3 linked regions of the Arabidopsis thaliana genome follow. The protein of the gene in region 3 purifies or fractionates together with the protein of the main gene of each other region. This does not show direct contact. Each region holds a gene or a part of one and is shown on either strand. Other genes may lie near its edges.

What was found.
Region 1: the proteins of AT5G40460 (region 3) and CYCD5;1 purify together in Arabidopsis thaliana (affinity purification with mass spectrometry, with the first as the bait; one large-scale study listed by BioGRID). This does not show direct contact.
Region 2: the proteins of AT5G40460 (region 3) and RHM3 purify together in Arabidopsis thaliana (affinity purification with mass spectrometry, with the first as the bait; one large-scale study listed by BioGRID). This does not show direct contact.

The regions. Positions count from the first base shown.
Region 1 is NC_003075.7:17,674,513-17,686,068, forward strand, and holds CYCD5;1 (cyclin d5;1), read left to right. Parts: upstream 1-4,655; 5' UTR 4,656-4,984; coding exon 4,985-5,227; intron 5,228-5,307; coding exon 5,308-5,394; intron 5,395-5,478; coding exon 5,479-5,788; intron 5,789-5,863; coding exon 5,864-6,012; coding exon of another isoform or gene 6,013-6,018; exon of another isoform or gene 6,019-6,093; coding exon 6,094-6,276; 3' UTR 6,277-6,752; downstream 6,753-11,556. Other genes in the region: ACA2 (calcium ATPase 2), read right to left, coding at 8,713-8,952, 9,034-9,332, 9,420-9,591, 9,671-9,829, 9,911-11,556.
Region 2 is NC_003074.8:4,959,340-4,971,419, reverse strand, and holds RHM3 (rhamnose biosynthesis 3), read right to left. Parts: upstream 7,316-12,080; 5' UTR 7,113-7,315; intron 6,937-7,112; 5' UTR 6,639-6,936; coding exon 5,079-6,638; intron 4,989-5,078; coding exon 4,545-4,988; 3' UTR 4,345-4,544; downstream 1-4,344. Other genes in the region: MSL5 (mechanosensitive channel of small conductance-like 5), read left to right, coding at 1-197; AT3G14780 (callose synthase), read left to right, coding at 7,955-8,195, 8,336-8,436, 8,619-8,740, 8,845-9,166, 9,266-9,523. UniProt on the Arabidopsis thaliana protein: Trifunctional enzyme involved in UDP-beta-L-rhamnose biosynthesis, a precursor of the primary cell wall components rhamnogalacturonan I (RG-I) and rhamnogalacturonan II (RG-II).
Region 3 is NC_003076.8:16,196,811-16,207,099, forward strand, and holds AT5G40460 (cyclin-dependent kinase inhibitor SMR3-like protein), read left to right. Parts: upstream 1-5,331; 5' UTR 5,332-5,654; coding exon 5,655-5,993; 3' UTR 5,994-6,548; downstream 6,549-10,289.

The sequences.
Region 1 (11,556 bases), on a different chromosome or scaffold from region 3:
GAATGGGTATATTTGTTAATTTGTCCACCGATCTTATTTCTGTGTCCGTGAAATAAATAACTATCGAATATGTCCATCGATATATTAACTTTGTTTGTTCATATATTTTGGAGTAACAATGTCAATGAGTACCCTCTAGCATATATTTTTTTTTTTTTGGGCAAACTCTAGCATTGATTGATAAAGAAAAACAGATTGTTATAGCATGGACCTCAGTTATGTAGACCGGCTACATTGGCTACATTATTACACATGGGTCACTCTCACTTATATATTGGGCCTGTAGAAACATTTTGATAAAGATGGGTCTTACCTTATAATAAGTTTTAGGCCCATTATTAGTAATATCCCGAAATGCTTAACAGTTAACACTCACTATTACATCTACTTCTCTTGTGGAGAATGGAGATAGTCGCATACTATAGCATTACAAAATTTAATTTTATCTACGAACTTTCGCAATTTTCTTTTAAATCTATAGCAACGAACTCTTTTTTTAACAAAAATTGAGTAAAAAAATTATGTATCTGATTTCGTGTCACTGTAATAATTAGATGTTATAAATTTTGTATGATTTTTCTGTTTTTTTTTTGTCAAAATAAAAACAATTATGTATGATTGCAATTAAAACAGAATCAAAACTTATGTGTATTAAGAAAATATGTTTTTAAATAAGGAGGGCCAATATAGTGTAGAGTGTATTCAGGAAACGTAATAAATAGTATACGGCGAAGCCTCTTGTTGTTGTTTGTAACGAAATGGGAATTGCTTTCTTGTCTTCTTCATCTAATAAATATTCTTATCAAATATACAACACTACAAGCACGAATTCGTTGCCTTTTTCTTGTTAGCTGTTACAATTCAATGGCAATATACATATACTATTTCCTCCAAACAAGTTAGATGAGATTTTATATAAAAAAAAAATGTATGTGTAACAATTAAATGAGCAGTTTCATTACTCTAAAGCGTGAACTAGAGTTCACACGAGTTTCAAGACTTCTTTTAATAATTCGGATAAGCTGTGATATGTACATGTACTTTTTTTTACTATTACTACTCATCATATATATAGTGAATCAAGCATGAATATATTGTCGATAACATTAATGGTTATGTAAATTGCAAACAGTACACAACTAACACAACGGATATGAATCGTAAGAGTTAGGTGGCTGATCATTTTGTTGTACTCTATTCCTTCAACGAACCATTTTGTATTACATTTTGTCAATTATATAATTTTATGAGTATGTGAAAGTTAATATGTTATATTCAATTATTCATAGAGTTTTATATTCTCTTGCTAAAACCATGATGCTTCCCACCTAACACTTGTTAGTCTTTTATACACCAAAACGTAAATCGAAAAAAGAAAAAAATTTACTTATCCAAAATCCAAGCTGTAACCAAAGTTATAAATCGGACACACGTAAATAGAAATATTTGGTCAAAGTTTGACTGTCTTGGAATCGTAAAAAACTTTCACACAGTCAAAGGTTCCACTTAGATGGGCACCAAGCCCCAAAGAAATTCAACACATGGCACAGACTATATCGTCACTGTAATTATTTATTTTAAACCTTTTTTACTCTTATAGGAAACTTATCTAGTAGTGACATGATATCATAATTTATATTTATATCATATAGTTTTTTGGATTGTTACTAGTTAGGCAGAGGTGGAGCGTCTTCTTCTTCTTCGTTTCTGAGGCAATCCAGCCTTTCGCACGTGACCGACGCTCCTCCACTGTAGTTATTGTCACGTGCGCCATCATTCCACCATCAATTTTTTTTTATATATTATATCATATTTCTTTCATGTATTATTCAACATCATACACAATTGATATTTGATAGTGTTATGTCTTTTTTGTCCATAGAGACCTTCTTGTGGAAACAGAGGGACCGAGTTTCTTTGTTTTTGCTAGAGGATGAATAGACTAATACACACCTCGAAAGGAATCATAAGTAGATTGGAAAATATTGTGTGTAACGTGTGTTAGGTATCCTAGATTTGTTAGTTCATTAAAAATGTGATCAAATTATATTTGGTTACTAACTCTTTTTTTTTTTTATATGTCTGACTGTTAACCCTTCTTAACTCTTAAGAGTTCACTATGTTCAAATAGGAGCATTTATTTTCGTCTCATTTGCTATATGTAATGTCATATTTAGTTACCAATATTACATTTTATTTTCCACATAATAGTAATTTTATTAAATGCGTGAAATAGACCACAAAAGACTTTGATTCCTTATCAACAAGGGAAGACAATCATAGAAAGAAAAGCACGAGAAAACAAAAATAATTTTGTTTCACCAAAAAAAACAAATTAGACATAGATATTCACCAAGCGAGTTAGCCTAACGACCCAAAACTTGTTTTGAAGTGATAAAAAAATATCCTGCAAATTCATCATCATCGTTACTAATTTCGGTCAATCTTGGCAATTGCAGATCACATCATCTAAATTCTAAAATGATGAAATGCATTTTTCAAGTTATTGTGAAATTGGTCCCTCATCTTGACTACATACAAACATCTCAGAAAAAAATTTGTAACATAATGTAATCATTGTATATATATACATAGAAATGCACAATAATACAAGTCAGAAGTTAAAAAAAGGAAATACAAAAATAATCTGTAAAATACGTAATGTGAGAATATTACTTGTATCTAGGGGGGAGATCGAACAAATGCTGCTGATACTTCACTAACATACACATAAAAGTTGCAGATTTTGGATCTTGCGTCTTCTTGGTTTTATACCCTTTTCTTACATCTAGTCTTATAAATATTAATACTATAATAGAAAAATTAATTATCCTATATATTGAATGACTCGGCTCCAAAGCCATGCGCCTATATATACAAGTCTTTTTATTTTTTAAAAAATTTGTCAAAAAAGGGACCAGAAACATATAAAGATGGGAGCCTCATTTGCTGATGGATAAATAAATATTTATTTGATTTTAAGTTTGTTCAAGACTAATTATAGTACAAATTAGTAAATTGTTGTTCTTTTTTTTTCTTAACATATTACATATTGTATAGTATAATTCCACTTTCATCCAATTGGATAATCAGTTATAATTCGGATGGTTTACGATACATCGGATTCTGCTTTCAATTTTTCTTGTATACATCAAAATTTAACACATGATAAGGTTTTGGAACCCGCTAACGAGACCTACCTATTTTTACAATAAATATACTCATTCAGTATTTGTCTATATTTCTACCTACAATCTATGTGAATTTGCTTACGTATATCTACTCTTCTTATCTACGTACTGTATAAATTTTCATACACAATCTTCGTGTCTCGTAACATCTACTACATGAGTCATATACAACTTTCTCACCTAACATGGAAGTCATTACTCGTAGGCCTAATTACTCGTTACCGTGAATATAACTATAAAAAGTGAGGAAACAAAAAGATTTACGGAGAAGAAAAATTGAATAATAATTGCAATAGAACTATAGGAAAATTTGTATATGACTTAGCAAAAATAATGATATGGAACTAAATTAAAAAGTTGAGAGGATTTTTTTTAGTGGGAATGGTATGGTGTTTCCCCCACCAATTCCTAAAAAAAACTTATTGCAAAATTGCTCTTTTGATCTTTATTTTCTTCCATTGAAAATGAATTTCTAGGTCTGAATTTAATTGAAGTCAATAAGTGGGAAATAACTAAACTAGCTATTCCTCTGTTTTCTGTTCACAATTCTATTTTGAATAAAGTACATTTTAATTCAAACCTCTTAAAATAGAAGTTACTACAAAAGCAACAAAGGGGGTGGTACGTGGAATACACTAATGAGAAATGTTAATAAGAACGTTGTATTTGGAATGGGATTTAACTTTCTGCACATAAATTTCAATGGGATCATTATTCTTTCCTAACTAAATGATTGATACAAATTCAAAGGATCCTATAAATCTTATCTCAGAGACCGAAAGAAAATTCCATTTGTACAAAACAACAAATAAATAGAAGAAAAAGTTTGATGATAACATTCTTAACAGAATCCGTGAACTTTGTTCATGTAAGAAATCTAGAGTGTAATCAAGGAAGTTCAACAGGTAAAAACAATGACATTTATATATGGACGTTCTTAAAACGTGTAAATCTCATATATTTAAGACAGCCACAATAGTTCTAAACGCTCTCCATTCCTGCATTAAGTATTTATTTCTATTAATAACATTTAATTTATCAATAAAGTTCACATTATCATAGACAACTCCGAAATTAAAAAAGTTTTTTTAAAATAAATTTGCTTAAACTTAAATAATCAACAAAATACAAAACAGTTTAATGGAAATAGCAGAAATCTTTTTCAAGAAAATACAATACTATTAGATAAAAACAATTTTGTTAAATTAAAAAAAACCCATAATTGACTAGCATCAAAAAGTCTTCAAACACAAGTAATCCTGCTGGATATTAAAAAAATAAAAGAGTAATCATTCCTTTAAAAAATGTGATTATTTGTCGACCCAAAAAAAAAGAGTGATGATATTATACATATACTCAAATATTAGTGAACAAATAAAACCTAAAATTAATCAAATAATAAAGATTTTTAATTTAAATGTAACCGCTAAATAACGCCCCCTCTCTCTCCCCCACTTATTTTTGGCGGCACCAGACGCGGGAGACTCTCTCTCTCTCTCCACTCTCTCTCTCTTTTTTCTTTGTTTTTTCGTCACTTGCTCCTAAAATCCCAAATCGAGTAATGGAAGAAAAATCAAATACGATGATTTAGCTTCCCTTCTTATTCTTCCCCTATATTCACTGCGATAACTTTGCCTCTCATCTCATAAATTAAAAAAAAAACACTCTTCTCACAAATTCTTTATAATTCCCCTTTTGATGTGTACGGACACACCACCGAAGCAGAAGCAGAAGAAGAAGAACACTTCTATCTCCGCCGCCGCCGTCGTCTTCATCATCATCGCCGCCGTTAAATGGGTGAGCCTAAAGACAGTCTCGCTCTCTTCCTCTGCCACGAATCGGAGTCTTCTCTAAACGAAGACGACGACGAGACGATTGAGAGATCTGATAAGCAAGAACCTCACTTTACTACTACGATCGATGATGAAGATTATGTGGCAGACCTTGTTCTTAAAGAGAATCTCCGATTCGAAACCCTACCCTCTAAAACGACGTCGTCTTCCGATAGATTGATTGCCATCGATTGGATTCTCACTGTCCGTAATCTCAAAAAGATTTTCCCTTTTTTGATCTTTGTCTTAATCTCTGATTGATTGGTTCTTTGTCTTAATCTCAGACAAGAACAAGATTTGGGTTCCAACATCAAACAGCTTACATTGCAATCTCATACTTCGATCTGTTTCTCCACAAAAGATTCATCGGTGTAAGTTTCAATCTCCAGTTTCATTTATCTATAAAAATCTCACCTTTATCTTCAGATTAAAGCTTAAAGATGGTTTCTTTGTAGTTGCAGAAAGATGAAACATGGGCGATGCGATTGTTATCAGTAGCTTGTTTATCATTAGCTGCTAAAATGGAGGAACGTATTGTTCCTGGTTTATCACAATACCCTCAAGATCATGACTTCGTTTTCAAACCCGATGTCATTCGTAAAACTGAACTGTTGATTCTATCCACATTGGACTGGAAGATGAACTTGATCACTCCTTTTCATTACTTCAACTACTTCCTTGCTAAAATCTCTCAGGACAACCATTCTGTTTCTAAAGACTTGGTGTTGTTAAGATCCTCTGATTCTCTTCTTGCTTTAACTAAAGGTAACTCTATTAAGAAACACATTTTTTTCTCAAGATCAAAGCATTTATTGATATCACATTTTTGTTTCCATGTAGAGATAAGTTTTACGGAGTATCGACAGTTTGTTGTTGCTGCTGTTACTACATTGCTAGCTTCTTCTTCTACCTCATCGGATATTAGATTGACTAGAGAAGAGATAGCTAACAAGTTTGGTTCGATCTCTTGGTGGACTTCTAATGAGAATGTATAAATCTTGGTGTCTTTTTATTCGATTTTGATTGTTTGATGTTGATGATCATAATCTTAGGAGTGTTGGGTTTTGTAGGAAAATGTATATTTGTGTTATCAGAGAACGCTAGAGATTGAGGAGAGGAAACATATGACACCTCCACCGGAAATAGCGGTTTCTCGCGAACCGCCGGCTTCAGGAAGTGGCGCTAAACGCCGATTGTCTTTTGATGATTCTGATCAAAGTTCTCCACCAGCCAAGAGAATGCGTAGGCTATGAAGAGAGAGTTTCTTTCTTCTTCAAGTTTTGGCTTATATTGATTTGGTTTCTTTTTTGGCAACATATTGATTTGGTTTTATATTCAATCATTTGATTATAGAGAAAAAATGGTCTGAATACATCGGTTATTTCAATTTTTATGAAGTAACTCATATAGGTTCTTCGTATGAAGGTCTTTGGATTTCTTGGGGATGAAATGTGACTATTAAAACATTAGGGGCTTCTCTGAGAGAATCTAGGAAATATGAGGAGTGAATGTAAATAAATAAGAAAAACAGAAAGGGTGAATAGTTTTAGGCCAATAGTTGCAGTGCCAGTGATTTGGTTTCACATCCTCTTTTATTTTTTTATTGTCTTATTTTTTTATTTGTTATGTTGCAATTTCTTTTTCATTTGATATTACAAAATTTTGTCATAGATTTTTTTTTTTTTTTGGCATCAAAGTCCATTTTTTTAACCTCTTTAACTTTCAAAAGGGCTCATTCATAGCAAATAATAAATGAAAAAACTCTTTTTAAGGTAAGGTAAAATTATTTTATATTTGATAAATATATTTATTTTCTTATCTTTATTGACACTTTTGGTCATCTCCAAAGTGAATCCATCTGTATGCTACTCAACATGTTATGTCCATTCCACAAAGTCCTTCGTGATCTTTTCATGTTCTCAAATCTCAATATATAATATCTTGGAAAAAAATTAATCAAATAAAAAGAAAATTTTCTTGTTTAGGAAAAATCATCGTTACTTATCTTTGATAGATAACTACTTTTACGAATTGACAATCAGTCGATCACGATAAACTAAAACGGATATATATTTTGCTCCAATAAGTTTTCTTTAGCATTATAGAAACCAACAACTTGTAGTGGAACTGTGGAAGTACTTTGGATCAATGATTGGATCTAAAGATGAAACCCCAATTTATACAGAAATTTGCATGTGATGTTTTTAAGTTAACGTACTATTCTACGCGCAAGTCAAAAGTGCATCGTACTCGTACATATAGAGGTAGATTGTTTTTTTTGTGTGTGTTTATAGGATTATTGTTAATATTTTCAATGAAATGCAGTTGAGAAAAAAAAAAAAAAACATATGTGTAATAGACTGAAGAAACAACAACCCAACGACTTGTTTAAGTGAGAAACAACTGTCTCATACAATACAACTTGGGATCCAAAGTTTTGGTTCCATTAATTAAAGCTTTAATTCCAAAATGATTAGCAACGAATTAAAAGACTTATTACAAACAAAATGCATTCTTACAAATTAAGAAGCATAAAGTACTGACAGAATATAATTAAAGATAATGTGTGTGTGGTTTAAGGCCAATGTTTTGTTGCTCTAAGAGATTATTCAACAAATCAAGAAGCATAAAGGGTCAAGCTTTACTTCACCAAGAACTAGTTAATGCTTCTGAATTTTCTGTTGCCTATCTTTCAATGAATATTAGTATGTCCCAATTGTTATTTTTTTTTTTTGCTTATTATCATTGAGTTAAACCATTTTGTTTCTGTTGGGTTTTGTGTAGACATATGTGAGATTCACGGGTAACACAATTTAGTTACAACTCTCACTTTGGTTAGGAGATGGATAAACTAATGACTAGTGAGATTGAAATATCACAAAAATAACTAATCTTTATGTAAATTCTATTTTCATTCTAGATATTAATTAGTCCTTTATTTATGAACATTTATTCACACGATCACAAACTTAAACAATTAGTTATAGAATATTTTACCGGTCTAATGTTCACATAGAAATTATAATTTACCTATACGCCTACAAGGGACAAATGACTATAGTATACTCATTTTTTCAATCTAAAAAATGGTTTTACTTCATAGAGATCCTAAATTGATAACATTTAAAAATGTTTTTTTCTTTTCTTAAAGAAGAGTCTTTCTTATTTATTACAGTTTTGAGATTGACAGGCTTTGGAATTGTTATATGGAATCAGTTTTGACTGATGAGATATGATGTCAGGAGAAGAGGCTCCCACTAAAAGCCATGACTTCATTGAGAGATTTTCTAAGTATATCAAATTACAGTCTGGCTAGATAACAATTTTGTACCCAAATAATCATTTTTCTTATTTTAACCTTTTGCTTCCTCTGTTTTTTCAATGTCCTTTTTCTGTATTTTTGCATTTGTCATTCAATAGAGACCAAATTTAGATTCCAAAAATGAGAAAAAGAAAGAAAAGAGAAGTGTCATTTCAAAGATACAGAGAGTTTTACAAAAATGGAGGAAATCAGATATTTGTCCTTAATAGCACTAATCAAACTGAAAAATAAAAGTCAAGAATAAAAAACAGAGTCATTGCATAATGCAAAAACTTTGTTAGAAGACTTGTCCGTTCTAAACTTTGAAGTAACTGGTCTAATATAGAGATCTTTAAAGAGTGGTTTCGAGCCAATTTTGATGGAACGATCAAACGGGAATCGTCTTCAGTCCAGCGGCGATTGGCATACCCAAGAAACCTATGAAGATACTGAAGATCCATTGTGTTATTGTGAGTGGTGTTGTGCTTGCAAATGTGCCCAAGAACTCGATGATTATGATCTGAAAGAAAACCGTTGCACCGATCACAACCACAAAGACGTAATTGTCCAGTATTCCTTTGAAAACATCGATCTCTTCCATCTCTCGCGAGCTTATCTCGTTAAACACCTGGAGTTTTCAGAACCAAAGTCATGTCAAGAATCTATCTTTATAGCTCGAGTATTGTTATCAGTAATCTTTGTTCTTTACCTGACAGAAGACGAAGCAGTTGAAGATAAGAGTGTTTAACATGAGAGTTGAGTCAGGACCGTCGAGACCAAACATAGCCTTCCCTTTGGCTTGGAGAATCCAAATTACGATGAATTGGTAAACAGCTTGTCCTAAAATGTTCCTCCACATCGCATTAGTGATGAAATTGCCTCTCCTTCCAACAGGTAAACGCTTCATCAGCTCGTCGTTTGGTGGCTCTGTAGCTAAAGCAAGAGCTCCAAGTGTGTCCATGATCATGTTCACCCACAACAATTGAACAGCAGTTAAAGGAGCACTTCCTGAAGATTATCATAAGAGCTGTGTCAAACAAGGAATCCAAAATGATTCTTTTCGAGACATTGAATTGGTATTCTTACTAAACCTACCGGTTAAACAAGCTGAAGAGAAGTTAACAACCAGTGCAACAACATTAACGGTAAGCTGAAACTGAACGAATTTCTGGATGTTTATGTAAACAGAACGTCCCCATTTAGCAACTGTGACGATCGTGCTGAAGTTATCGTCGAGAATGATGACATCAGCGCTCTCTTTCGCCACCTAAAAGGTTATACAGATAGAAACTTTTAGATTCTTTAGCTCTCACAAATGACATAACAAAATCTTATCATATACTCACTTCAGTTCCAGCAATTCCCATTGCTAGTCCAATATCAGCTTCATGAAGTGCAGGTGCATCATTTGTTCCATCTCCAGTGACAGCAACAACTTCATCAAACGTTGTCCTTAACTGTTTCACAAGTGTATGCTTATCCATTGGTGAAGAACGAGCCATCACCTGTATAAGAACATAGGAAAGGTTATGTTTCAAAAACTAAACAAAAAAAATTAAGTCTTTAGTTCATGAAACAAAAAGCACCTGAATCTTTGGAATCAGTTCTAGTAACTCTTCTTGATTCTTCTCTCTGAATACGGGACCTTCGATGGCTATACCGTCATCAGTTAAAATCCCACATTCTCTAGCAATTGCTTTCGCGGTGTTAATGTTATCTCCTGTAACCATCCTCACAGTGATTCCAGCACGGCGACAAAGCTCAACAGATTCTTTAACTCCAGGACGTACGGGATCTTTGATTCCCACAATCCCTACGCAAGTAAATCCAGAAGCCGGGATTGCATCATCCGGCGAAAACCCGCCTTCAATATCCATATAAGCAAGGCAAAGAGTTCGAAGAGCTTCATTAGCAAACTCGTTGATTGTAACATTCAGATACTTGATTGATTCTTCATCAAGTGGAACAACCTCACCGCTCGAGTTTACAACTTTGTCACAAGCAGCTAAAACAATCTCGGAAGCTCCTTTCGTGTGAGCACGCATACGTCCTCCCTCAGGAAGCTCGATTACAACTCCCATTCGCTTCTTTGTGGAGTTGAAAGGCTCAACTTTGATCACTTTGTAAGACTTCCTCTCTTCTTGGAACTTACCTCCAAGAGATAACCCCAACTCTAATATAGCAGTCTCTGTTGGCGTCCCCAAAAGCTCGGTTTTCCCATGTTTGTTGACAACAACTTCGCCTCCTGTGTTATTGAAAATCGATTGAATCAACAACTTCACCGCAGATTCCGGGATTTCTGATTGCAAGCTAGAACCTTTATTTGCTACATCTTGCACATTCATGCAAATGCAAGACTTCACAACGGTCATGTGATTGGTTGTGAGTGTACCAGTCTTGTCACTGCAAATCGTCGTTGCAGATCCCATAGTCTCACATGCTGCTAAATGCCTCACAAGAGCTTTATCGTTCATCATTTTCTTCATGGCAAACGCAAGACTTAGAGTCACAGCTAAAGGCAATCCTTCAGGAACCGCAACCACAACGATTGTCACAGCAATAGCAAAGTATTCCAAGAGCTCCAATGCTTCATCACCAGACCAGACCCAGTGAGTTCCCGTTGAAAGCTTCCTCATAAACATTCCTTGCACCAGAACCGCGAAAGTAACCACCGCAAAGAAAAGACCAATTTTGCCAATGATGGTAGCAACTCCATTGAGTTTCACCTGCAGTGGAGTTTCATCATCCCCTCCTTCGGTCAAAGTCGCCATTAGCTTTCCCCATTGAGTCCTCATCCCAACTGTAGTAATCATCATCTTACAAGATCCATCTTGCACTTTGGTTCCAGACATAAGGAAAGGATTCTGCGCATTCACCATCACAGGCTCACTTTCACCAGTCAAACTCGATTCATCTATCACCACAGAGAATCCCGAGAGGAAAAGACCATCAGCAGGAACCTGATCTCCAATCGCCAGATGAACAATGTCACCAGGAAGCAAGTCGTAAATCGACAGTTTCTGTCTAAACCCGTTCCTTGTCACCTGAACAGTGATCTTCTTCTTCTCTTTATCCAAATCACGGAACTGCAAAGACTGGCGGTAATCGCTAGTAGCTGTAACAAACACAACCAAGAGAATACTAGCCGCAATGCCAAGACCATCATGTGATCCTTTAGGCCATCCTTCAGTAGCTATCCCAACAATCAAAGACACGAAAGCACAAACACCAA
Region 2 (12,080 bases), on a different chromosome or scaffold from region 3:
TGAATCATCAAGACATGGGAGAGAGGTATATAAGAAGAGGTCTATTACTAGAGGAAGTGGGAAAAACTTGTAGAGAGCTAGATATCGAGTATCGCTTATATCCTCTTAACATTAATGTTCGAAGTCTCCCTCCTACGGCTAATCCAACTTCTTCAGACCGCATTCCTCCTTCATGGATGCAACAACGCGGTCCTTGAATTTGAAAGATTCTAGAGAAACAGAGAAATGCATTTTTCGTTGCGTTATGGGAAAGAAGATTATGATTGTTAATGGTGTATATAATATGTATGAGTGGTTTTGTAAAAGTTGAAGTAAGTTAGTTTGTGGTAATTTAAGCAATAAGTAGTCATTGTTGTAGCTAAGTTATTGGCCTTGAGACATTTTATGATGTTGTTCTACTAAATCGAGGAAATGAAAGCGCAATTGTACAAACATTATTAACTATAACTCTATAAGTCTATAACTAATTAATCCAATAAAAAGTACTGTAAAATATAATAGGTCAAAAAATATTTAGTTATGTATAGAAAGTTGAAAGTTGAAAACCTCACATTAATAAAAAAAAAATTTCTTCTTCTAAAATATCACTGAAAATGATAAAATGATTTTATTATAATTTTTGCAAATTACTCGAGTTTTAACTAAGCATATACTCCCATATTTTTAAAAAGAAGAATATATAATTTATAAATGGAATTGATGAGAAGGAAATGAAATTGAAGTTTTTCGTAACGTCAAAACACATTGAGATTATGATAAATAGTTTAGATTAAAGTGTTTTGAGAGATTTGTTATTCTTCGACCATCTTGTTAGCTAGGTCAATATACCCTTAAATATGTATTTGACAATGTAGTTAACTAGTTATCATTTACCATTAACAGGATTCATATTTATAAATTAAACATTATCTTAACATCTTAATTTTGAATACTATAAGTCTATAATTAACAAAAAGAAAGAATATTGGATTAATTGAGATCGGATCACTAATCAGATCTATCCAACCGCGCCAAAAACCGCGTTTACAACGAAACCGGGATAAATTCGGATCCAAAACCGGATTTTGGTTTCTCCTCCATCGGTTTAACCCACCCGAACCCCTAAATGCGGGTCTTTAAAACCCAAATCGTCCATCGGATCTGATATTCTTCGATCCAGCTTCTTCCACCCGTAACCCTTAAAAGAGCTCCTCGGATCCTCCGATTCTAGTCTCCAAAGATTCTGACGGCTTTGCTTTTTTCTCTTATAAACAAAGGTGTCCAAATTTCAAACTTTCTTGCTATTGCTCTGTTCTTCTTTCACTCTCTCGGCTAATTTCTTGATATCAAAAGCTTGCTCGCAAAATTCATAAGGGTTTTGTTTGTTTCTAGTGTATGACTAATTTCATCCTAAAGTTTGTACCTTTGATTGATTTCATTGAATTTTGTGTGGTGGTTTTTATTGTTGAATAATGTGGCGCATCCTGGTTTTATGATTTGATGATCTCTGTTGCAATGGTGATTTTTTTTTGGTTTTGATCAAAGCTATGACTGTGTAATGCTGATGGTGATGCTTTGGGATGATCTTTGTAACGCTCATGCCATTCTAATTGTGTAAATTAGTCTCAAGTTTGTTGCTTTGATCAATGAATGTGGTGCATTCATCAAGTAGGCTTTCGTCTTACTGAACTTGGTTTTGATGCTGATGGTGTGATGCTCTAGGATAATCACAGAACTCTCACGCCATTGTAATTGTGTAAAAAAACTGATCTTTTTGTTTCAGTCTAATTGTGTTGTTTAAATCAATGAATAGGGATTTTGGTGTAGCAGGGATACAAGTTTTGTATGATGGATGAATCAAATGAGATAATCTTGCAGAAATCAAAGAGGTTGACATCTGTTGTCTGGAATTACTTTGAGAGAGTGAGAAAGGCTGATGTGTGCTATGCTGTTTGCATTCAGTGTAATAAAAAACTCAGTGGTTCGAGCAACAGCGGAACAACTCATCTTCGGAACCATCTTATGCGGTGTCTCAAAAGAACTAATCACGACATGTCTCAGTTGCTGACACCTAAAAGAAGGAAAAAAGAGAATCCAGTTACTGTTGCTACTATCAATTTTGATGACGGTCAAGCGAAAGAAGAGTATCTTAGACCTAAGTTTGATCAGGACCAACGAAGGGACGAGGTGGTTCTAAGCCGAGGAAGTGGTGGAAGGTTTAGTCAAGAAAGGAGTCAGGTTGATCTTGCACGTATGATTATTTTGCACAATTATCCGTTAGCCATGGTTGATCATGTTGGATTCAAAGTTTTTGCTAGGAATCTTCAGCCGTTGTTTGAAGCTGTGCCAAATAGCACAATTGAGGATTCATGTATGGAGATTTACATTAGGGAGAAGCAGAGAGTGCAGCACACTTTGAATCATTTATACGGTAAAGTCAATCTTTCGGTGGAGATGTGGTCTTCCCGGGATAATTCTAACTATGTGTGTTTGGCCTCTAATTATATCGATGAGGAGTGGAGGCTACATAGGAATGTTCTAAACTTTATCACCTTGGATCCTTCTCATACTGAAGATATGCTCTCGGAAGTGATCATCAGATGTTTGATTGAATGGAGTCTTGAGAACAAGCTTTTCGCTGTTACGTTCGACAGTGTTTCTGTTAATGAAGAGATTGTCCTGCGAATTAAAGACCATATGTCTCAGAGCAGCCAGATATTAATCAACGGGCAGTTATTTGAGTTGAAATCTGCCGCTCATCTTCTGAATTCTCTTGTCGAAGATTGCTTGGAGGCTATGAGAGATGTGATCCAAAAGATTCGAGGAAGTGTGAGATATGTCAAGAGCTCGCAATCAACACAAGTAAGGTTCAACGAAATTGCTCAACTCGCCGGAATCAACTCCCAGAAGATCTTGGTTCTTGATTCTATTGTTAACTCGAACTCTACGTTCGTGATGCTTGAAACCGTATTGGAGTACAAGGGTGCGTTTTGCCATCTGCGTGATCACGATCACAGCTTTGATTCATCTCTAACCGACGAGGAGTGGGAATGGACAAGATACGTTACTGGTTATCTTAAACTTGTATTCGATATTGCCTCTGACTTTTCAGCAAACAAATGTCCTACAGCAAATGTATACTTTGCTGAGATGTGTGATATCCACATCCAGTTGGTCGAGTGGTGCAAGAACCAGGACAACTTCTTGAGTTCTCTCGCAGCAAATATGAAGGCTAAATTCGATGAGTATTGGAACAAATGCAGCCTTGTTTTAGCAATCGCTGCGATATTGGATCCGCGATTCAAGATGAAGTTGGTAGAGTATTACTACTCTAAGATCTATGGCAGTACCGCTCTGGATCGTATCAAGGAAGTGTCGAATGGTGTCAAGGAGCTTCTTGATGCATATTCGATGTGCTCAGCCATTGTCGGTGAAGATTCCTTCTCTGGATCCGGTTTAGGTAGAGCTAGTATGGACACTAGAGACAGACTGAAAGGGTTCGACAAGTTTCTTCACGAGACTTCTCAGAACCAAAACACAACAACGGATTTGGACAAGTACTTGTCTGAACCGATCTTTCCCCGTAGTGGCGAGTTCAACATTCTGAATTACTGGAAGGTCCATACACCAAGATACCCTATCCTCTCTTTGTTGGCCCGTGACATTTTGGGTACGCCGATGTCAATCTGTGCGCCTGATTCAACCTTCAACTCTGGGACACCGGTGATCTCTGATAGTCAGAGTTCCTTGAACCCTGATATCAGACAGGCTTTGTTCTGTGCACATGACTGGTTGTCTACAGAAACAGAGGGTACAATCTCAAACTCTATTTAAGTCTTCTTCTCCTTTATAAGAATTCAAAAGCCAATCAATCATCAACTCCTACTGACTTAAATCTCTTATAACGAGCCAAGAAATTCTACCATTGTCTAGACAATACCCTCAAACTCTGTGAAGAGAAGAACAAAATACAAGGTATTGAGGTCTTTGCGTTCCTCACTTCCACCGTTTTCTTCATCATTCTAAGTGAATAAATTTTTATTTTCCTCGATACACATTAACTTTACTAGTTTTGAATTGTGGTAGGATGAAAAGATCATGGAATGTCACTCGTAGTTCTCTAAGGTGGTGAAACTGAAGAGAAAGCCAAATGCTTTTAGATGGTCGTGTTGCGTAGATGGAACAGAAAGTACAGAAGTTTAATTTATTTATGCATTTGAGTTTGCTGTTTGTAACAAATAGAATCCTCAAGTTTAAAGCAAAGGGAAATAAGTTAAAGTCAATTTTGTTTCTTCTTTTTCTATATCTTGCTTAACATGAAAACAAAACAGGGATTATAGAATAGGAGTAGGAGGAACCAATAATGAAAGGAGAGACAACTCCAACAAATCGATCTGTGTAATAACATTAATGGAAAACAAAGATGTGTTGTGACGTAGAATGAGTGAAGACAGCTACATGCAAGTCGTAGAATGCAAAAAAAGAGAGTAAATGAATCAGATAAAACTATAGTAGAAACATTATAGTGAACACAGAGCGGGGAAGTGCGTGTGTGTGTCTGTGTTTTACGTTCTCTTGTTAGGTTCGAAGACGTATTTGATCAACGAATCTTTGATGGAAAGCATCTCTGGAAACTCCTTGCTGAGCTTGGCACCATCCATCTCGTTGTTGCTCCGTGGAGCAACAATGACCTTAGCCTGTTCTTCCAAATTGAAGTTGGACCATTTGAAATCAGGCTCGATGTAACTCTTGTACATCTCTAATATCTCGTTGTGGCTCACCACTCCTGGATTGGTGAAGTTCCATATTCCCCTTAGGTTCCTCTTCGCCATCTCGATCGAGATTGGTAAGAGTTCATCTAGTATGGTCATGCTGTTTGGAATGTTCACCACTTTGTTGTAACGCGAGATCTTCGTGATGAAGTTTCGCGGGTTATTTAAGTCAGATGAGATTGGCATCCGCACTCTCAAGGTGCATACGTTGTCAAATTCTCTTAGAAGCTCTTCCACCTGGCAAAAATAGAAACAAGAGGATTTTTTATGGACAGAGTTCAAGAGACTGAGGATCAGATGTGATTTGGTTATGTGATATTATCTTACCATTGCCTTTGTTTTTGAGTAGAAAGAACCAGTGAAATTCGGTTTATCTTCTTCCTTAAAACCAATCCCTGAACCTTCTGGATGTGCAGCGTCATACTCGAATATACAACCAGTGGCAAAGTTCATCATCAACAGATCATTCTCTCTGCAAACATCTGCAAGAGTCAAAGTTCCAGCAACGTTGACTCGGATGGTTTCAGTTTTGTGAGATTCACACCAGTCAACATTGGGTCTCCCAGTTAAACCAGCGGCGTTGAAGACATGACTTGGTTTGATGCTGCGAATATCTGCGATGAGAGAAGCTCTATCCTCTAGTCTTCCTTTTCCATACTCGTAAGGAATCCCTTGTTTCTCACATAGTTTTCCCAGAAGACCACCGAGCCACCCAGTCTTCCCATAGATGAGGAACTTCAAGGATCTTTTGTCTCCGGAACAACCAGCCTTGGTGGGAGTAACCACCGTGAATGTCTGATTACCATCTGCATTCTTGTGCTCGTCAGAGCCATCAGAGTGTCGGTCACCGGGCATCATCAACATCCGTGGATGAGGAAGCAGAGCTCCAGAAACATCGCCCCACCACTCAGGGTTCTCAGTATACCATTCCATTGTCTTCCTCAGTCCTTCTTCCCAATTGGTTCGCTCACACCATCCTAATTTCTTCAGCTTCTGGTCATCGAGGAAGTACCTCTGGTCATTGAATGGCCGGTTTTCCACATACTGAATGGTGGAGTCAGGGTCTATCCCAAAGAGTTTACTGATGTCATTAGCCACATCAATCACTCTCCTTTCTCTCGTTGTCCCTATATTGTAGACATGGTTAACTTCCCCTTTGTGAAGAACAACCTCAAATGCCTCAGCAACATCTTCGCAGTAGAGATAACTTCTCACATTAGATCCATCTCCGTGGATTGGGAGAGGCTTCCCATTCATGGCCAAGAGGATGAACTTAGGAATCAACTTTTCAGGAAACTGGTTAGGACCATAAACATTGTTCCCGCGAGTTGTTATAACCGGCAACCCATATGATCTACCATATGCCATGACAAGCATCTCAGCTCCAGCTTTAGTGGCGGAGTATGGATTAGTTGGGAGCAACTGAGAAGCCTCGTGATTACCCACTGAAGCATCCTCATCAGTCTCTCCATAGACCTCATCAGTACTCACATGGATGAACCTCCTGATCTGGCCAGTGACTTTACAAGCTTCCAAAAGGACATGGGTACCATAAATATTGTTCTTGGTAAACTCAAAGCTATTACCGAAAGAATTGTCAACATGGGTTTGAGCAGCAAAGTGCATAATGGTGTCGATTTCTTCAGTGATGAGAAGGTAGTTGACGAGATCAGCACTGGCGATATCTCCTTTCACAAACTTGAAGTTGGGAGAGGATTTAGAAGGATTAAGGTTCTTCAGATTAGAACAGTAATCAAGCTTGTCAAGCACAACAATTTTGTAGTCAGGGTAGCTGCGAACTAGTCTGTTAGCAACATGAGAGGCTATGAATCCAGCAGCCCCAGTGATGAGGATGTTCTTAGGCTTATATGTAGCCATCTGCAACATCAAAACCCATGAAAATTCAATTCAGAAAAGCTTCATTGACAGACGAAACAGCACAAGAAAAACTTCATCTTGCGACATTTAATCAAACAGTTAGACTACACACTAAGCAGAACCATTCAAAAATCTATCCTTTTTTACAAAATTTCACTGTGTGATTCAGTACAATCAAAGTCATGAGATTCGAATTGATAAAAGGACAAGCTACAACTATTAATCCAAAATTCGAAATGATCAAGGAAAAAATAAGGCAGATCTAGATCCAGAAGTATGTATGACAAATGTAGCAAATCCAAATACGCTAAAATTTCCCAGATTTAGCAGCAGATCCAGTGGAAAACGATGAGAAAGCATCATGAACCGAAAAAAAAAAAAAAACTTCAGGATACGGCATCAAACGCAGAACGAAGACGTACAATAACGAATTGAGCTTAGAGATTTATAGAGAATTGAGGGAAAGAGAAAGAGTTCACATACCGGATCGATTCAGATCAAGATGAAGATGAACCCAAGCTTGAAGAATATGCAGAGATGGATTAAAGGAGGGAAAAATCGAGGAGAGGAGAGAGATCAATGGAAATAAATAAAAAAAGGAGTGTGAAGAAAGAGAGGGAACGAAGGAAAACGAATGAGCGTCTCAAATGAGTAATTTTGAGACAGTTACGGAGAACCAGTGGGAGACTACGCAATGACCAAATTACCCATTACTACTACTACTACGCTTTAGAAATTAATTTCATCACACATTCAAACTAAACAAATAGTTAGAACAAAAATTACCATTAATAAAATGGTAATAAATAAAATGATAATTTTGAACACATCGACTACTCATCTATGATTTGTACCGAAAGATGACTAAAAAAGTTTGTTTTACAAAAAAAAAAAAGATGACTAATTTTTTTTAATACATTTTACAATTTGGTTTGATTTGGACATCAAGTTATTTTTGTAGTCTATATTTTGGTATATTCTTGGTGGCTAAGAAATATATACATATGCTTTAATTATATTCCAATTCATAAGATTTAGTCTATCTCAACTTGTTTTAATGGTTTTTCTTTTCCCATGCACGTTGATATTATCGTGTAAAGTGTAAACTTTTGCTAGGAAACCACTTTCTCTAGTACCAAACTAGTAGAAAGCATTTTTCTCCTCCAATAAATCACTTTTAATTAACACTTCAAACACCGTCTTTACATTGTTTATTTTATAGAATTCCACCTCGCTAAGCAAGTGCTGCTTTATATAATTAATTCCATCTCCAATGTTATCTCCATGCCAACTAAAACAATAGAAGAAGCAGCTTTCATCTCCCAATGTCGTCTAACGAAATCGCCCCTGTGGATCCTACCGATGTTTTTCTTGATATGGATCCCATCCTCCCGGAAGATTCGCCGGCAACCAGCTTGTTCACGAGACCCCTCGCTTTGAAAGAACAATATGTGTGGGAGCCCTATGACAGCGAGAAGCTTCCGGAGACATTAGCCTCAGGGATTCAAAGGTTTCTTCGTGTAGCAAACTTGGTTGAGTCTGATGATCCTCGTGTTGCTTATCTATGTGAGTTTACTTTACTCTCGTCTAATTCCCTAAATTTGAGTACTACTTTAGGATTTTCTCTGTTTTTGAGTCGAAATTCACGCTTTCTTGTTAAAGAATCATAATTTATATGTTAATCTTTTTATTTTTTCTGGTCGTAGGCCGTTTTTATACTTTTGAAGAAGCTCACCGCATTGACAGTAGATCTAACGGAAGAGGTGTACGACAGTTCAAAAATTCTCTTCTTCGAAGGCTAGAGAAGGCAAGTCACCTAAGAGTAGAAAACGTGACACTGATTCTAGCTAGTTTCTTGATTTTTTTTAAGATATGACCGATCATATGAATGGTGTGGATCAGTCTCCGGATAATTCATGAAATTTCTAACCTTATATATTAAGTTGTTATGTTGTTTGTCTTGATCTTTAATTTGTTTACTTGTAGTAGGATGACGAGTTTACTATAAGAAGAAGAAAGGAAATAAATGATCATAAGGAACTCAAACGTGTTTATCATGCTTACAATGAATACATCATCAGACATGGTGCATCATTCAATTTGGATAATAGGTATATATATATCCTCCATTTTTAAAAAAATCTACTGACTATTGCTAGTTCTAGTTCAATTTCAACGAACCAACATTAACCTATGGAAATTTATCTGAATATAGTCAGCAAGAGAAGTTGATAAATGCACGCAGCATTGCTTCTGTTTTATATGAAATTCTAAGGAAAATCGAATCAAGTATGGGCCGTGCCTCAACCCCAGAAAGTATACAATTAAACCGGGATGAGGAGATTGGTGAGCTCCTTGATATGGACACCTCAATGGAGGAGACCAACAAGATAAATTCGGACGAGACCTTTGTCGACCAAAAAGCCGAGTTGGTAGTTGAGAAGAGCAAAGTCTTAGAGGACGAGAGACTAACTCAAATGTTTCAAGGAGACCACCAATATCTCACCCAAGATGAAAAAGATGACATATACAAAGAGGTGACACTTTTGAATTTTTAAAAATTATTTATTTTCTAACAATAATTTTATAAGTTATCAACTAACTTTCTTTTAAAAGTATTTTTTTGGGGGTTTTAGGAGGTTCAAATAAAGAAAGACAAACGTTTTGCATATGGATCAATGAAGGCGGTTCCATCTTTGTTTTACGAAGATAAGTATCTCGAGACACAAGAAAAGTTGAACAAGCTGGAGAAGAAGATTGAAGAGATGGAGCTGAAACTCAAGGATGTCGACTTTTGGACTAACATGATGCAAAACATGTTTCCAGACCAAGTACCTCCATCTATGAGAGCAAACCAAACCGATAACAACAAAAACGACAAACTAAGCCTTTAAATTTTATCTTCTATCTAGTTGTTCTATTCCTATGGTTTGTAAGACACTAAATATTTACATTTAAGTTATCTTTGAACTTATGTTTTCGAATATTTAATTAGTTTACAAATTATATTTTTGTCTACGAATTGCATGACAGGAAAAAAGAGAGAGATCTAATTCCTTAAAACATATATTCAAAATACGGATCTATTTGATAAAAGAATAGAAAAGTAGATCAAAGTTTTATTTTAAATATGGAAAATATTAATAACTAGAGTATGTATGGAATTAATTTTGTATAGATACTGCTTGGAAATATAATCCATTTTGAAACGGTAAAACAAAAAGAATTTATTATTTTTAATGTAAGAGAAGATTTTTCTTTTTTAACCATCGTAGTTGATAATCACTTTTTTTGCGGTGCATATGGCACACTACCGATGGAGCTGGCTTGTTCAATAATTTAACAACAACTTCTACCTATCAATTCTCAGCCACACTTATTTTTTAACCCATGCGTTTTTTTTTTTTTATTGTACGATTCAAGGAAATTGCGACAGAGGAAATATTTGCACGTTTAGAAATACACAAATTATTTGTTGATGTCTACGTGATGTGATTTATTGATTTATGTATCTCAAACTTTTTCGGACACATTCATCATAACTTGTTAACTTTTAATTCGACAAGGCCTGGTCATAATTATTTAGAAAAATAACAAAACTAGACACATTTGATTACTTAGGTTATATATTTCTCCTTTTGACAAAAAAAAGGTTATATATTTCTCCGTTTAATTAAATTATATAATGAATAACATCATATTCAAAACCAAGACATTCAGAGCGCCACAAATATTTTAAAATCAATAGCAAAAGTCTCCTAATGACTTTTCTTTTGCTTAATTCACGTGTTTTTCTGGTTAATCTAGTTGATATTTCTACGTAATTGTTCAAAAATAAAATATATTCTACGTTACATTATAAATCAAATATTTATTTTATTTAATGCCGTATACATTTTGTATACACCCGAAATCGAATGGTATATATAATTTCTGAAAATTGGATAAGCTTAAGTGCTTAGCCACTTGATTACTACAATGTCGTAATTAGATCATTCACGTAATTAAAATTTAAAACAAATGTTCTGAATGGTTGGTGACAGACTGACAGTGACTAATGGATAAACTCATGTGTCTCGCGCTCGATTATCGGCTTATTACATGAGTTATGTTATATAGGTTATAATGGTTATTGTAAAGAGAAAGGTTTAAATCTGTTTAACCAATCAGCTTAATGAAGAATAAATGTGTCACAAAGTAAAAGTCAAACCCATTGAATACATATATAGAATAGAAAAATTCGTGATATTAGCGTAACGTTAGCTAGATTGAAAGATTGATTGTCCCACGCTTTGTTATACAGATCGCGTGGCGTCGTACTTTAAACATACTTCAGCGAAACAGCGACATGGCTTAATCAACTATATCATCGGTAATTTGATATATCAATAAAGTGATTTATCGGAAAAACGTTAATTTCTTCACAAGTTGGAGTATATGTATTCACTCGCGTACGTAAGTTATAATTTCAGATAACGTAGATAATAACTTCACTCATAATATAAATGATTGTACTTTAATTGTAATAATGAGCGTATGAGTAGCGTCTCGCTAGGATAGTATACGTGTTGACCAAATTGAGAGGCAAATCCGCAAATGAGATCCTGAAAGAAGAATAAGTTTATGATGGTTTTCTGGAAACCAAATGGGATTTGATCACTCGAAGGGTTTTATTAACGATGCTCTTAAAAACAGTATAATTGTTATAAAAAGAAAGAAAGTGTAATTTACGTGTGCCATTGGATTTTCTTTTTCCTTAGGGTTTTAAGATTATGATGAGTGACTCAGCGCGAGACACATGAGTTAATCCCGAACGCTTGTTGAAGTAGACTAGAACATACGACCACCAAATGTTAATTAATATTATTCTATTCTTTATCATTTTAAAATTCTAAGAGAATGTCAAATGTAGACCACTCAAAAGAAAAAAAAAAGAAGCTCCAAACTCAATCCAAAAAACGAGAAAAATTGATTGGTCAGCAACTATTTTCAGATAATCAAGTTGAGATCAATGTCGACGGGGATCAACGTTACAGCTCAGGCTATAAAACAGAGAAGACATATTATTTAAGTGTCTCTTTTAGGCATGATTTTCAAAACCTTTCGAGTTTTTTCAATCTTTTTAATCAATGGGATCAAATTTCGAATATCATTAAGACTTTTAAGAGAATTTTTAGACCATTATGCATATGTTTACCTTAATTTTTTCATGATCTATATTATTTTAAATGGAATTTATTAACAAATATGTATAACGTTACGACACTTTTTCGTAATTAATTTGTTTGTAAGATAGTTAAACAGTAGACAAAGCCAAATATGGACCGCATATATATAGTCGTACACATTCAGCCTTTTGCTCCTTACCTTTTTAAGAAAGTCTTCTTTTAAGTTTCTGGGTTTCAGTTTTTTTTTTTTTAAAATAAAAGTTTCTATAAGAAGAAATCTCGT
Region 3 (10,289 bases):
GTAGAAACGCAATCAATTCAAATTTAGACGTTTAAAGGATAAAATATTTTGTGATTGACCCGTCCGCACTTTCCATTTTTTTCACCATCAAATTCCGCAGGAATATATTCTAGATGGAAATTATATTTGGGGGTAATTATCATGTTTTCTTTAACAGAAATTATAAGTTAGCTAAATATAAATTAAATCACATCATCATCATCATCATCATCATCATCATCATTGATCACAACGTTAGTGGAATCTTATGCAAATGTTAATAAGACATTTTCCATTTCAATTTCAAAAAAGCTGGCCGCCATTACAAGGACCGACCCATCACCCCCAACTTGTATAATATATGCTCTCTATTTTAATGATATATGCTCTCTACTAAAAATTACTCATCAATTCTTTCACGGGCCATACAAAATTTTAACATGTACCTAATTTTTAAAACTATAATTTGCCGACAAAAGAACTGATTATTAAAGCTATTAAAACGCCGTCAGACAAAAAAACAAACAATTAAGCTATTAAAACCAGTAATGTTATTAAGAAAATTGAAAACAACAAGTCTACAACTGATACAAACATTTAAAACCGGTCATGTTGTTAAGACAACTGAAAACTACAACGCCCGATCGACGATAGGGATATGCTTCATTATTTTTGCATTTTTCCATTTTGAAACTTTCTATTAGAAAAAAAAAAACTTTTATTCTAATTTAAAACAAATGTTTTCGAAATTGAATTGGTTGGTTTAGTATTTCACGGTTTAATTTAATTTAACCAGCTAAGCCGAATTTTGAATATATCATATTTCTGAAACTAATATTTCCAATTCAAGTATATGAAATAGATAGTTATTTTAACTTTTCAAGAAATTCAAATTTAAATTACAAATAGAAATAATAATTGTAGCTTCTGTTTAGAAGAGGAATTAAAGTATAATTAATTGAAAGAAAAAGTAAATTTGTAGTGCATATAATTTAATTTTTGATACTAATGAAAGTGTTACAAATACAATTATCACAAAAGACTAACCTAGATTTAAAAAGTTTCAAATCACAGTGAGATATTGAATCATAATTCAAACAGAAGTGAAAGTAAAAAAAACTCTATCATACCTTCTTATAGTATATACTATTTACTATATGTAAACTAAATTCAAAAATTGGAAGTAAGATTTTTTTTTTTTATCATACATACAACATTTTTGTGTCTCATTCTTTAATATTTATTTTAAGAAATAAATGTTCTTCATTTTTTCAATGTCAAAACAACATGTTCTTGCACGTGTTATAAGATTTTTAAGATACATAACTGAATCAGCCGGTGCTGAAAATTGAATCGGCTTTTTTATCCAGAACTTCTGGTTTTGCGGCTTTTTTAATTTCTACAAAAAATACTTTTTTCTAGTGATAAACTAGAATGGAATATCTGGATCATTTTGGATTGGTGCGATCAGACAAATTCGGTTCAGTCTAAAGAATGTTGCTTTAAAGCAATGTTCTGTTTATTTTTGTCATTTTGTGTTTGTTTGGTCAGTGCACAGTAATTATTTTAATAAAAGTAATGACACCACATTTATATTTTTGTTTTGGCAAATTGGCAACACACCTAGATTAGTTGTTAGTTTATTTTCCTTTTTAACAATCAAACTGATTCAAAATTTGCGGCTGGTCCAGCCCAAAAACAAATATTGGTGTACCAATCCTTCCTTTCTAGTTTGTATAATGGTTAATCATCTTATTAATTGACATTCATATATGTTCTATTTCTCGTCACTATATATATCTTATAAAAGTAAAAGAAATAATATAATCTTAATAAAAATTTCGTCCAATAAATCTTTTTTTTTTTGCACCCTAAAAGTATTAATTTATTTTATTTTTGGATAAATGTAAGAAGAAAACAAATCATTGAAACTTAGTTTTGCATAGAAAATGTGGATGGAAACACACATATGCAACATTGATTTATGTTGAGATTTAATCTCGATTGTAATCAATTATGAATCATCTATATGTGGTTCTTAATTATGCTTAATTACTTATTCAGAGTTTCGAATTCCACTTTTTCTAGAGTTGTGATAGTAACGGGCAGATAAAAATATTATTGAAAACTTAACCATTTACAAAATGCATCTCTAGTAATATTTTATACTACTGAAATATAATCTGCATATGAACATCAATGTTGGTCTACTTTGTTTTTTTTTTCCACAAGTTGGTCCTTCTTGGTCTACTTTGTTTTGTGGCGTATATAAGTAACATATATGCTATGACTAAACACTGAATGAAAATGTATGCAAATTGATAAAAAAAAGGAGGCTCCTATCAAACCGACCAAACCGAAAATAATTGTCCTTACGTCGCCGTCCAGAACAATATTATCGAAGATAAATCCAATTTTGCTTTTGCGCCCAATATTAAATTTAAGGTAATGATAACAATTCGGATTGGGTTCATAAAAGCAAGTTATAATATACAATGAAATATACTTTTGGTGTGATGTATCTTACCTTTTCGTATGAACTGATTGCGTGAACGATTGCATCACTTATTTAGCCTAATAATTTTTCTAAAAGAGAATGATCCGATCCAGATTGGTTTAGATATGATCAAAATTGCAAGGAGGTTCGTTAGAAGTTCACCAGAACTGTTATTTACTTGCAAGGAGGTGGCCCGAGCGTTACAAACGCGATATAAAGATTAATCAATATGGATAAGAGTGACTATAAGCTCATACTCTTAGAATAACTTTGAAAATGTGTCGCATGATAATCGTTTGACTAGGTTTACGTTTTCTTTATACACTATTTTTGAATAATTATTCATTTAAATGCATTTCATGTATAATATTCTCTTTGTTTATTTTTGTTTGACTGTTTAGGAAAAACACACATATTAAGGTAAGCATATTAAAGTTGATTTTAAATGTATTATTTTGTGTGTTTTACAATTTCATATAACTTTAAACCAATGATATTCAATCATTTTTATTAAAGTTAACACTTCATCAAAAATAACAAATAAATGTTGCATAAAAAACCTTAAAAAATCAATTTCTTAAAACAAATTTATTTCCTAGAAAATCAAATAAAAAGGAACAGAGAGAATAGTAATTTATAGATGACTAATTGATAAATAATTTTTCATACAATGTAAATAAAGAAATAGTATAAAACATGTTAAATATTTATATAGATATATTTTCTAAACATTCATGTATCACGGAACGAAAATTGGTCGAGAGTAAGATACACAAGTCAAGATAAAGATGTGAAGTGTAAAATTTTCACATGAAGAAGAAGGGATTGTTGTCCAGTTTGCCATTTTTTGGATTTTTTTCTAAAAATGATAATTTTACTAAACTTTTACAATTTTGCCATTTTTAACATTTAAGATATACGTATTTACGATTTTTTTTTTAAACACGTATTTTATACCAAATACTAAACCAAAAAAAAACCCGACTAATTTTATCATAATGGGTAAAACACAAGTTAAATCACTTTTTTATACCTGAAAAATGATAAAATTTTAAAAACTATTTAAAGATGGCAAAATCTATAAATGCCATAAGAAGAATAGCAAAATTCGTAATTAATTCGAAAAACAATCGAAACCTTACAAATCATCGTAATTAAACACATGTTAGAGTCATTTTTGTATTAAAAGAAACCCTCATATATCAGAACAACCGAATTGGATACAAGATTACATGATAAATGATCGAGAATTGGCGAGTTATGTATAAGATATGTCAAAGGTCTTGCTGGACATTCGGGTTCGATGGCAATTTGAACACTTTCGATAAGTAACTAATAGAATTGGCCAAAGAGGTCTTATAAGGCTGGTTGACTAAGAGGGTCCCATGCATTTCTTTCACACTAAAATAGATAAGGGTCGGCTCTTTTGTAGGTCCAATATAATATGCGTTACTTTCAATTTCAAATTTTAGTTAAAAAACATTTCAAATTGTTCTTCTTCATATTTTACATTAATTTTCATAACGTTTTGAATGCGAATAAATCTAATGCTTATGTGACACAATGTCAGCCCTAGCTAGTCCCGACCTTCCTCAACTTGTCTCTATCACCATTCATGTCTCTCAAAGGTCCATTCATCCTATCGCCTAATAATTGAATATTGATTACTTTTATTACATAAAGAAATATAGAATATAATATATCAAAGTTAACTATAAAATTGTAAATTGTAAAATGTAAACCTTAACTAAAAGATGTATTTGATTACATCATCTTTTTTTTGTCTAAAAGAAATTGGGATGGACCTTTTATCTATTTGTATCTCTTCGTCTCATGGTCCGGAATAATAACTAAAATTTACCTAAAATTTCAAATTTCTTGGTATCATAAAATAACTACAATGCAACATTGACTTATACTTCATATCGCACGTATCGGATTTAAGATTTCTAGGGTTCCAATCTTCATGTTCGACTCTAGAACCAGAGGGAGAGCAATCCATCATGCTGATAATCACCCGCCAATCTCTCTTATCCTTATCTTTCTAATGACTAGAATTAGCTGCATATATATTGTTTGTTTGATATTGACATTGTATTTGTACACATAATGGCTTCTATGTATATATAAGTGCATGCATGAATCCGTGATGATGGCACACCTTAATTACGAACATAACTTTAAACTGTATTAATGATCGATTAGTTATAGATATATAATATATTGTTGTTTGCCTCCATGGTTAGCTAGTTTTTGACATGGCTTGATATGCTACTGATGTTTTCTAACGTTGCTGTTTATTGAATTGTATATATCATATAGTTTAATAATGTTGATGAATAAGCCGTGAGTGATATAAATTCCAAACTCATTTTCCACAAGATTCACACTAGATTTTGTTTTCGGCAGATTCCATGATTGTTGATAATCTTATCAACCAAAATTAGAGAGAAGGCAGATGAATATTTAAAGTGATGGGGAAAATTCAGTGTGTCAAAACCGACGTCGTTTTGATGACCAACAAACTGACGAACTGAAGTTAAACCGAGTTAATTTCAGTTTGAACCTAAACCCAGAGAAAACCATAAAAAAATGTAAATTAACGATAACCGATTAGAACCAAAGAGGGTAAATAAACCAAACCGATGTTCTCTTCTTCGGTTCTTCTCTTACCTAAAGAAAGAAACCTCGCGGGAAAGTAAACTGGGGGCAAAATCGGGAATCACTAAAAGGATATAAAGGCGGGAAAAAGAGCCGTTGCGAACCAAAACTCTCAAACTATGGCGCCAAACAAAAGACGGTGGTTGCGACTCTGCCCGTAAAATTTCTCGGGCACCTAAATTTTTATTCTTTTTAAATTTCCAATTTTATCCCTTTTTTTCTTCATCTTCTTCGCAAAGCTTTTTTCTCCTGAATATTATTTTGACTATTTAAACCCTCTCTTTATCTCAATTTCCTCTCATTTGTTTTTTCTCATTCTTCTCAACAACAAAAAAAATTCTTCCTTTCAGACCAAAAAATTTGACCAACCACAAATTTTTAATCTTTTTCCCCACTTTCATTTTATTCCGATTCCTCTTCTTCTAATTGGAACAAGTCTCTGTTTTTATCTCTCTGTTTTCTTTTTGGGTTTACTCTGTTTTTTCATTTATCTTGGTTTTGAGTTAGTTAAAGAGAGATGGGTTTTTCGAAGAAATCTCAATTCGAAGGAGGTTTAGAATCCGACGGGAAGAAATGGGTTATCGCCGGAATTTCGATTCGGGCTTCGTTGAAACCAGTCAAGACGAAACTCAGAGCGCCGCCGGAGATAGTGACCGAAGTTGAAGAAGATTGCTACAACGAAGAGGAAGAGTGTTCGACGACACCGACAGCGAAGGAAACGAAGATACCGGAGTTATTGGAATGTCCACCAGCACCGAGAAAACGACGGCCGGCGTTAAAATGTCGGAGTAACGTCGTTAGAGAGTTTTTTACGCCTCCTTCTGATTTAGAGACGGTGTTTCTACGTCGCCGTTAGTGAGATTTGAGTTTTTTTTAATATAGTTCTCTAGTTATATATTAGTTACAGGCCATGAAAACTTTGGTTATTAGACTTAGAGTTAAAAATATATGATAATGAATCTAATTATGATAATGCGTATCTTCCAAATTAGCCTTGTTCATCACATTTGGTTTCATTAATATTTTGGTTATACATATATCAACAAATAATCAGTCCAGATTTTATAAAAACACTAATTTGATGTAGAAAATTTTATACTCAGAGCCTTGGATTAAGCCTACGGAGACTAAAGGAGAAGTGACGCGAGCAAATCTTACCAGTTAGCTCAACTACCTAAATATAATAATAAAATTACCAATAATTTGTGACAAGTCCACACGGCAAGCTTTTGACTCTCCACTATACTCGTTTTTTTTGGGCAAATCCACTATACACGTTTATAGGTTTTTTTTTTGTTGTTGGTAAAACTCGTTTATAGGTTAATAACTTAAACTATGTATTTGCATAATTATTGTTTCCTTTATCTAATGTTCTAGATGTGGGCCAATATAGTTTTTATTAACAAATAATATGGTGGGATCTAATACAAAAATCTTTAATTTCAAATAAAAAGAGGTAAATCATACTATTTGGAAAGAGAAGAAATCAACAATTTTATAATGCACACATGTAATGTTTTTTATATGCTTTAAAAGGATTCTGAAGAATTTCAATGCATGACTTTTTTTTAAGGAGGCCTCTACTTCTAAAGCCATCCCAACAAATATGATACTTTCTTTTTTCAGGTTAAAGAGCTTTTTGCGTGCACAATTGCACACTCACTAAGTCATTAGTATCTTTAATTCATTGACCACTACTTTGTATTGTAACAAATTAATTAAATAAACTCATAAGACATTATGATTAGTAATTACTCATGCTACGCACCAATAGTACTATTTGCAGATTAAATGTGTTGCATGCAAGTAAGTCACTAATTCTCAGTTGTGTTCTTGTGGATTGAGTCATGAAAAGGACAAAATAGGGTTCAGAGAATAGCGGTGCGATGGGAGAATCCAATGTGGGACTTAAGGCCTTGTTTGGTTCCTTTACGAGACAACGACCAATCTCGTGTTTTTTTCCTCTTTTTTTTGAAATGCCAAATACAAGAGAAATATTTGAATAGAAGGAGACTATGACGATTGACGAGTTTGGATCATTCTTGTGAACGAGTTTATTTCACTGTCATGACTTTAGGAACTATAATACATTTCTTTTCAGGAAAAAATTATATTGCCTGCCGAATGTACTAGCAATTCAAAATGAGAATCCAAGTTTGAGGATTAGGTTCACCTTTCACAAGTCTGTAAATTTGTTCTAGTTAGCAATTCCAAAACAATAGCTTTTAGTGTCCCAACTGATGATAGCCGAATCTTCCATTTTAGGAGACTTTAAAAGATTAAATTCTAAGCTGAAAGTGCGGATGAAGTAATATAAATTGCAAGGAAGAAAAGACACAAGAATTTTGTTAACGAGATTCGGTTTTTCCTACTTTCCGGGAGAAGTTTAGATTCAATTTCAGTAGAATAATAAAACAAATTACAACAAATTTGCAAACGCGTAAAATAAGCACAAATCTCTTGATTTACCGCTCTCTTTTAAAACGTGAAACCTTAAAGATAATTTTTACTCTTAATTAAATTCCTTCAAAATCTAGATTTAATCAGGATAACACCTAACCCTGAACTAAACTATCCTTAAATCTAGACTTCAAAGCAAAACCACTTGATCACACAAGCACAAACCCGCAAAACTAAGTTGCACACAATCTTACAGAAAGTTCTCAAAGATTTCTTCTTTATATCTCAGCTCTCTTGCTTCTTCAAAACGTCTCCAGCTTCTCCGTATATATCCAAAACGATTTTTTAATCATTATAGGAAAAGATTTCCAAATTCCATAAGAAAAAATAAATTTTTATTTACATTTTCCTTTTTTCTCATTGAATTTCACGTTCATCAAGTCTTCCAAATCCTTCTAAGTCATTTTCCTCTTTTGATTCATCATCTAAACATATTCCAAAAATATATTTTCAAATTTTCTAGTAACCGACACTCACACAAAAACATTCGCATCCTGAATTACTTCTTAAATCATTTAGCAACTCCATCAAACAAAAATTTGTATACTATTAAACTCATTCAACGACTCCATCAACAACAAATGCATCTTCATAAGAATCTTTCAAAATGTGTAATTTCACTTTAAAATGCATGTTTTGATTATTCATTGGATCCGTACAGATATAAGGATAAACAAAGAATTTAGTACGTAGGAGTCGAAATGAATAACTTATTAATAGAGATATTATTGTTACTTCTTGACTAAAAGGATTTTTTTTAAAAGAAAATAATAATTTAAATGACGGATATCGTATTGAATTGATTTTTTATTAATTCATCTTTTTTGTTTCTTATTTCATCTTCCATCATTTAAGAAAACACAAACATTTTTCAGAACTAACGACTCAAGAATCAATAAGATCATGTTATATATCAGTGTCCAAATCTTATATAATAACACATACAATCAATTCCAAATTTATATAATATGTAAAAGATAATGATTGAACAAGATATTTAGAATCCAAGAAGTGACTGATTATTCTGATTATCCAAGAAGATAAGATAATTATTAATTTGTAAATTATAGTTTAAACGAATCCAAGAAGTGACACTAATTAAAGGTAAACAATAAATTTGCAAGGATCAAGATTACGTGACAATTTCACGATGCCTAAGTCAGTTTCTCAAAGGTAATGATGAACTCGAACTGGCCGTCTTCTAACTAGTTCATCTAATTAACTAGTATTTTAGATACTTTCGTATTGTCTATTGTGTGTGTGATAAGATGTGCATACATATTAATAGTTTTGGTTTTATCATTCTTTTGTACTGTCGAAGTTTTGGTTCTCTTTTATTTGGATAGAGACATACATTTGTGACTTGTTCTTTGTCTATATAGATATGATAGTAGCTATCTTCAACAATGCATGTGCTTCTCTAGGGGACCAATCGAATAAATTCTAGTTATCATATAAATAAAAAATTTCTCATAGACTCTATATGTGTAGACAAACTATGATTCCTAAATTGAATGAAAATAACCAATAATTATAGAAATACAAGTAATCGGAATCCTGATATTGGATAGTAGAATTGAGTTGGATGACGAAGAAATAAACTCTTAACTGACCGGATTCATTAGCGCATGTTGCGTTGCCACCTTCGCAAGAGTTTTGAGCAGTGAGTTCAACTCCATCTCACCATAAAAAGTCTAGTAGTTAACCAAAAAAAAAAAATCTTAACTGAAAAACCAAATAGACTTTAATTATTGAAAAAAGAGTTGAAAGCTAAAAATTAAACCATAATTACTAATTAGTCATCCAAAGAAGACAAGATGTACTTGGTCATGAATATATTATAAGAGGAAGTAATATTTAGAGCATGTCTATATGTGTCATGTCTGAACTTCGGTTTAGGTTTCTCCACTAAATATTTTACAAAATACTCATTTATATGCGCAGTCATCAGGTTTTGGGAATACATGTAAACTGCAAAAAGAAAAACGGACGTTAACGAAATAATGCAATTATAGTCAACCGTCCCTCTACCGAAAATATACCTCAATTTTAACAAAGAAAGAAGATATACCTCAATGTTTGAAATATGTGTAATGTATAAGTAAGATCTATAAGATACACTAATTGAGATGATCGACATTGGTAGCTATTACGTAATTATAAGTAAGAATACTTCCCAGGGGATGATAATGGGAGAACGGGCTACATTTGTACTATAAGATTCTTTTCACATATAAATAACTCCTAGTATAATAGTACAAGTGAAAGAAAAAAACGAATCCAATGCAAGTGTGAAGTTAAGGTATTTTGAATTTTGTTACGCATGCATGAGGTTTTTTTCCACAGTGTCTTAGGTTAAGAAAATAAAAGAAGGACACTGGACACGTACACATGGGCCGCCAAAAAGGTATCCTATGCCCGAAACTATATGTATAGAGATGTAAGAAATTTAAATTTAAATTGATTTTAATGATGGCCTTATTTCTCAAAGAATGTGTATTTTTTTCCGTACGAGTCTTGATTTTGTCTTAAAACGCTAATATGAAAGTAAATGACTGTTTTGCCCACATCCTTCTTCGCTTTAACGCGGTTTTGACTTCTTCTGCCCGTCTTGCCCGGTTAATTATGGCGGGGAAAATGGAAGAGAGAAAAAAAAATTGAATTAATTAGAAGAGAAACAAAAAAGGTAAGA